2 linked regions of the Nothobranchius furzeri genome follow. The protein of the gene in region 2 purifies or fractionates together with the protein of the main gene of each other region. This does not show direct contact. Links are inferred from orthologs where the notes say so. Each region holds a gene or a part of one and is shown on either strand. Other genes may lie near its edges.

Region 1 (3,992 bases), on a different chromosome or scaffold from region 2:
TTACCTGTTTTGTAGCTACAGTTTCGCCGACGGCTGCCGGCTTCATCAGGCTGACGCTGATGGTGGTGCGTCACTTCCTTCTCCGTTTATCTGCGGGCAGCAGAGGACGTTGTTGCCCTCTACTGCCCGCTCTCCCCTCTCCGACGATGCAGTCCTGGGACGACGGAGTTTACACGCTGGACCACGCATGGGACTGCATCGTCGGAGAGGGGAGAGCGGGCAGTAGAGGGCGACAACGTCCTCTGCTGCCCACAGATAAACGGAGAAGGAAGTGACGCGCCACCATCAGCGTCAGCCTGAAGAAGCCGGCAGCCGTCTGCGAAACTGTAGCTACAAAACAGGTAAACAAAACTGTTTCTGTGTTTAAAAAAGAACGAAAGCATGGAATGCAAGTACAGTTTCAGAACATTTTCATAAACGGTTACATTATTTACTTATAGGCTCTGGACATGGCTGCACACAGCAGCATGTTTGTTGACTGCAGGAGAATCATAAATTATTGTGGATACTTTACAGACATTCAAACAGCGTTTATCTGTGAGATAAGTAAGTGTGGAGCCACTGTAGGAGTCTAATGCAAAACATGCTACTCTGGTGAAATTATGTGCATTCCTGTGTGATCGGAGGAAACAGCAGAGACTGCCAAAAGATCAGCCACTAAAACTAAAGATCGAAATAGTTTTAGAGACGGACTGAACTAGTATGCTCTTCCAGATTCAACAAACATTTAATTGCACAAAAAGTCATAATAAAATGTTGATTGGTTTTCCTTGTTATAAATATAAAACAACATTGTCTTTAATAATTTTGTTCATGTATTTGGTTTTCTTCTGTTGTTCTGAGTCCTGCTACAGACAGGTTTCAGAAGTATGTGGCTGTGATTCTCTTGTGTGAGTGTCAGTGTGTCACTTATTGGTTACAACCAGCATGTCACGCATACTAGACATTTCTTATGAGATTAGAGTTTTAACATTGACTAATGCAGAACATTATCTCTGGTTAAAGTAGCGTTTGCAGGTCCGTATATGAAGGAAGGCAGGAAACAATTTTAAAAAATCTTGATACATTTTAAAAATTTCAATACCCAAGTCATTGCTGCAGGATGTCTAATGCATAGTATTACCATGCTAGCCACACAACCTGTAATGTCATCCATTTTCTTCAGAGACCTTTTGCAATTATACCCTCGGGATGGAGCTTTAGGGTGTGAAGTGCAAACAGTAAGACTTAAGACCAACTTGTGCCTGCGGGAAGTCCAACCCTTTCTACTCATACAACAGTGGTTTTGTTCAGACAATATGTCTCTACAAACATTCCTGCAACTCTTCAGGGCTGATGTGATCACTGGCTGTTTATAAAACCAGGCACATGACTTGAGACTCTTAAATCCATTGTTTGAAGTGAATGATAAAACTTGGGACTCAAATACAGATGGAATTATATGATGATTAGCATAAATGCAAACAGTTTTTATTAGGCCAAGATATGGATCGAGTCATACACCAACCTAAAAACTTAGATACAAAGGATGTCAATCAAGAATTTTCCTAGGACTAGTTGTTTAAGATCCCTTTCAACACAACAATTGAATGAAAACTCAGTGGAGTGAGCTTTGTCATAGATTTTGTGGTGAAACCGGCGCAACACTTCTTCAGTTGTGTGCCCCGACCTCATTGGGTGTTTCGGCCACTTATCACAATACACCCTCTGCTGGGGTTGGCCCACCCCTGGTTGATCAGACACAGGTGTGTGTCACTCGGAAGCACCACGTCATCATTTGGCAGTCCAAATTGCATCCCTTCGTTTCAGCCACAGCCAGTGACTGCTCTGTTCCGCTGCAGTGGCAAGCTCTTTGATTGCCCTCCTTTGGGCCTGGCCTCTGATTCCTACTTCCTTCAAAAGCCTCATTATGGAACCAGCTACAAAACCTCTGGATCCCACTTCCACTGGCCACACCTTCATGGTGCTCTTTGCTGAGAGTCACCAGACTCAGTCTCTGTGCAGAATTAAACAGAGAGTCTGGCTGGCCAGGCTAGGAATCAACTTCTTTATTACCTCAAATGTGCTCCACTTTTAAATCAAGATTAAAAACTTTCATGTATTCACCAGCCTTTGAATGGCCTGCATCTTCTGCACTGTAACTGCTCTTGTATTTTAATTGTGTTGTCATGTTAATTTTAATATTTTTGCTCTTGCTAATGGAAATGTGCTATACAAATAACGCTGCCTTACAAAATGAGAATATGGTGCATAAGTCAATTAATTTCAATAATTCTTCTTAGACTGAGAGACCGTCTAAAGGCTCAGGAACCCTTTGCAGGAGTTTTGGATTCATTAGCTGGTGAGAGACACTGAGTCTAAACAATTTTACCTTTTAACAATATTTTAATAGAAATTTTAAATGTGGGGTTTTCATAAGCTGTAAGCCATAATCATTCCAATTATAATTTAAATAAATTATAATAACAAATAATGGCTTGAAATATCTGGCTTTGGAGCTAATGAGTCTGTCTCATATTAATTTCCCCTGTTAAGTTGAATTACTGAAATCAATCAACTTTTGCACCATATTCAATTTTTTCCTGTTTCAGCTTTAAGATTGGCCTTCACATGAAAAAGATTGTTATACCTGGTTTAGCATTCACATCTGAGGCAGTAGGAAGTTTGTGGACCTTCCTGATGAGTTTGGGTGGCCTCCTCTCAGTGGACCTTTCTGTTCTTTGTTCTTTTAGCTGCTGATGCTTTGACCTGCTGCTTTCTAAACGTAAAAAAATGCATAAAGTAACCCACACAGAAGAACAAATAAATAATGGTACACACATGGAACAATGCAACAGTTGCTATGTAATTAAATCTATGCATTTCTGACACAGAAAGATCCAAACTTGTCTAAGCACTTTAGGACTCAGCACATAAACTCTTCTACTGCAAGCTTCAATAAAAACACAAAGTATGATCTGTAACTTCTGAACTTGAAAGAGAATCCAGAGCAGAAAGAGAATGTCTTGCTTGGTTCTTTTAAAACACAAAAATGGGGTTGTTTTGGACATGAAAATAACTAGACAGAGCAGCGGGACCCTGATTATAAACGCATACAGGAAACCAATATATATAGCACACGTTATACCACCCAGCGAACATAATAACAGAAGAACGGGACTGTAAACAGGAGGACCAACGTATACAAAACGTTTTAAAGAACTGTGGATACCCGACATGGGCAATAAACTAAGGAAAACAACAAACAACAACAGAAAGAAAAGAACAGCCAAAACAAAGAAACCAGAAATCCAGAAAAACAAGAACCAAAACCAGTGATAACTCTTCCTTACATCAAAGGTATAGAAGAAAATAATAATTATAGCAACAATGAAAAAACACAACATAAGCACACCAACAAAACCATACACAACAGTTAGAAAAAGACTAGTACACCCAAAGGACAAGATATCAGCAGGACAACAATGTGGAACAGGGTTGGGCAATAAATCGAAAATGGATCGTTATTTAAATTTCTGACTCTTATTGAGATCATTTTTTCCATGTCAATAAATTTGATACAAAAATGAAAAGATGTGTGTAGGTTGGCAGCGTTCACGTCCCTTTAAGAAGCTGAACCACCTTGAGTCACGTAAAAATGTGACTCAACGTAATACATGTGACAGCTCCATCTCGTGAACAACTTTTGTTTCTGCGCATACCTGTAGTTATCGTCCAGTTATCGTTATCGAGGTGAAATCCTCAATATATCGTGATATTGATTTTGGGCCATGATATCGCCCAGCCCTAATGTGGAGTCATTTACAAAATACGATGCAAACTCTGAAATAAAACACGCACGGGGGAAACCAGACGCCAATTCAACACACGAACAATAGAACACAGAAAGGAGTGTGGCATGGAAACAAACCAAAGACAAACAAGAGCAGCTAAACAAGAAGCAGAAAGTACAATAAAGAAATCAGCCGTAACAGAACGGTGCACAAGGGAGA
Region 2 (3,665 bases):
ATTTTCCTTTTCTCTTTCCTCACAACTTTTGCTTTTCTCATTTTCATGATTTTTTTGATTTCTTTGTTTTTGATCATTTTTGTTCCTGAGTTAAGTTTTTATTTATTGCAAGTAATATCGTCATCGCAATATTAATCATCGTTATCGAATATCGCAGGTTTTCCTAATATCGTGCAGCCCTAGTCCAGAGTGGTGAAGAAAGCTGCTGTTGGTTGGGATCACTGTGAATACGTAGGTCAGTTTTGGTGTTAATCCATCCTATAAATGATGAAGGTACGGTCATACATCTGTTTAAGTCATCTCTTATCGTTTCCAGTAGGGGAGTCGAACTGCGACTGTCGAAATGTGACTTTAGAGTTCCACTCCTAAGTATGTGACCGTGTTAGTAGTAGGATGTAATCTGCTGTGTCTCCATTTACTGTTAGAGGTTTATTTATTCCAGTTTATGGTATAATTCGAGATTGTGGAGAGTTCACCGCATTTGTTTGGGTTTTGGAGGAACAGGAGTACATCATCAGCATATAAACTCATTTTAGGTGTTAAAGTGTTAGTGGTGCGGGTGAAAGTGGGCATCCATGTCTAGTTCCTCTGTGAGGTGCGACATATTTTAAGATCGTTTGCTAAAACAGCTGCTTTTGTTTTATTGTAAAATGTTTGGATCTATTGGATAAATCCAGATGTTTCCAGCGTTTTAATGAGAAATGTCCAGATGTTTGTTCCGCATCAGGAGGGTTGTTTAACTTTGACCCGATGAATGCATGAGGCTGAATGGTCTTTATTACTCGAGGAGGGTGTTCCTGTTTGCTCTGGGGGGATGAGGTGGAAAGGTAACTTGTTTTATTGTTTAAATGATGTTAAAAGACTTTTACTTTGATAAGCTACATGTGATCATTTAGTTGATACTACAATAAAAAAGACTTGATTCAGTTAATTTATTTTCATTATTCACATCTTAGTTTAATATGGAGTAAAACTGCTTTCCGTACAGCATCACAGAGCTGAACCCATTCAAATGTGATGAAGAAAATTTCTTCTTCTCCTTTTAGACTGAAAAGTTACTTCCTGTTGTTACGACGACTCGTGTTTCCTCAGAAAGTTCCAGATAAATAGAAACAAATCTTTCATCATCATCATCATCACTCTCAGCAGCACAAAGCTCGTTAGTCGTTTCTATAAATCTGTACAGGAAGAGGTGCATGATGGGAGATTCAGGACACGTCCTCCATATAATCGGCGACGTTGCTCTGGCTGAGCTGAGAGACGCTCAGGTCCTGGGTGGACTCATCAAACTGCATCGACACACAAACAAACAACAGCGGGTTGAAACCAGCAGTTTAAACTGAACTCAGATCTGCTGCTCAGGAGTTTTTCGTCACCTTGTCGCTGTTTTCAGGACCTTCGATGGAAACTTCCTCAATCTCCTCGCCGATGCTCAGCTCTCCGTTGGAGAGGTCCGACCGGTGGCTGGAACACACAAACTTAGTTCTAATTCAAGCCGATCGGCTGGTTCAGAGCTCAGTAAAACCACCTCTTTAGATTGTTATAACTCTGATGCTTATAAATCAAAACCTTTAGAGCTTTTATAAGACCTGTAAACTAATTTGGACCCAAATATGGAAGTTTCCAGAAATAATGTACCAAATATTCACAGTAATTCCGATGATTCCGATTTGATCTCACCCGGTATTTAGAGTCCATTTGGACAGGAAAAACTCATTTCTAATTATTTTGAATAAAACTGGCGGTTTAGAGCTGAACGAGAAAATCTTGCATGAATAAATGAAATAAAAAGCTAAGGAAATCAAATCTGTGAGGATTAACCGACCAGCACACGCAGCAGCAGGTCACCTGGAAATCTCACCTGTTGAAATCATCGTCATATTCAACGTCATCATCTGTGGAAACAGGAAACCTGAGTTTAAGTTTCACAAACAGGAACACAAAGACTCCATTTCCTCTCCACTGTCGCTGCATGTTTGCTTAGTATAAGGATTGCTGTAAATACTCTGACACTAGTCAGTGACTCGATGCAACCTGCTGGGTTAATGACCTGACCTGTGTTGGATCGTTTACTGTGTGAAGGTCCCTGAGACGACTCTGGTCGTGGTTTGGCGCTTTAGAAATAAACTGAGCTGAATTGAAATTGAATAGGTCCAGAGGACGTTTCTGATTCCAAACAACCTGATTCCCACCTAGATGCAGAGACCCAGTTCGGTCGCTCAGCCCACGGAAGCCTTTCTCTCTGGAGTTTGATGCCCCTGCAGAACAGAAACAGATTATTTTATGGTTTGATCACAGATTAAAACTCAGATGTAGGAGGAAAACAACTCCGATTATTTAGAGACATAATCAGTATCCATGGTAACAGAGAAGAAACAAACCGTTTCTGCTGCGGCTCGGCTCCGATCCACTGCTCCCTCCTCCTCCTCCCGCTAGTCTGCAGCCCTCGGACTGAGACCCGACTGGACTCCCCCTGACCCCGGGCGTTTCCACCTTCCTGTGAGGAGAACCGGTGGTTCTGACCCAATCAGACGTTCATTTCTACTAAAAACTTCCATCAGAGGAGAAACATCTGAGGACCCAATCCAGAACACGAAGCTGCTGCTGGAACCTTCATCTAGATGACTTTCCTCATGGATTATGTTATAATCCTAATTTCTGTCCGTTTTTAGAGGAAGTGGGTTTGAAACCTGTTATATTAAGACCAGACGGCCTTTAGGATCTAAAATACACACACACACACACATGCATGCATGCATGCAAACACACACACAGACACAGACACACACACACAGACACAGACACACACACACACACACACACACGCATGCATGCATGCAAACACACACACAGACACACACTCACACACACACACGCATGCATGCAAATACACACACTTGCATGCACGCATGCAAATACACACACTTGCATGCATGCAATTACACACACACACACGCATGCATGCAAATACACACACATGCAAATACACACACGTGCATGCATGCAAACACACACACGCACGCATGCATGCATGCAAATACACACACGCATATATGCATGCAAATACACAAACACATGCATGCAAATACACACACACTCATGCAAATACACACACACACACATGCAAATTCACACACGTGCATGCATACAAATACACACACACACGCATGCATGCAAATACACACACGCATGCATGCATGCAAATAGACACACACACATGCATGCATGCAAATACACACACACATAAAAATATACACACACACGCATGCATGCAAATACACACACGTTCATGCACGCATGCAAATACACACACACACACACACACACACACACACACACACACACACACACACACACACACACACTCATGCAAATACACACACATATGCATGCATGCAAATACACACACGCATGCATGCAAATACACCCCCCCCCACACACACACACGCATGCATGCAAATACACACACACACATGCATGCATGCAAATACACACACACACACATTGCATCTGGGTGGAGGATGATAATAAATATCAGATGATGTTCAGGAGGACAGACGGGTACACCTGCAGCTCACCTGAGCTCTGAGCTGTGATCTGAGACAGGATTGTCTCGCTCCAACTCTGGGTCCCCAGCAAGGACCGAGAGACTGAGACCAGAGAGG

What was found. The genes of interacting proteins can lie anywhere in the genome.
Region 1: the proteins of cep43 (region 2) and cep350 purify together in Homo sapiens (affinity purification with mass spectrometry; 6 studies listed by BioGRID and IntAct, counting the BioPlex papers as one, with this or other methods). This does not show direct contact. The link is inferred for Nothobranchius furzeri from reciprocal best matches to the Homo sapiens genes CEP43 and CEP350.

The regions. Positions count from the first base shown.
Region 1 is NC_091748.1:57,218,567-57,222,558, reverse strand, and holds part of cep350 (centrosome-associated protein 350), read right to left. Parts: intron 2,759-3,992; coding exon 2,630-2,758; intron 1-2,629. UniProt on the Homo sapiens protein: Plays an essential role in centriole growth by stabilizing a procentriolar seed composed of at least, SASS6 and CPAP. Required for anchoring microtubules to the centrosomes and for the integrity of the microtubule network.
Region 2 is NC_091742.1:15,824,948-15,828,612, forward strand, and holds the end of cep43 (centrosomal protein 43), read right to left. Parts: intron 3,651-3,665; coding exon 3,579-3,650; intron 2,498-3,578; coding exon 2,382-2,497; intron 2,259-2,381; coding exon 2,193-2,258; intron 1,896-2,192; coding exon 1,862-1,895; intron 1,465-1,861; coding exon 1,377-1,464; intron 1,290-1,376; coding exon 1,209-1,289; 3' UTR 918-1,208; downstream 1-917. UniProt on the Homo sapiens protein: Required for anchoring microtubules to the centrosomes. Required for ciliation.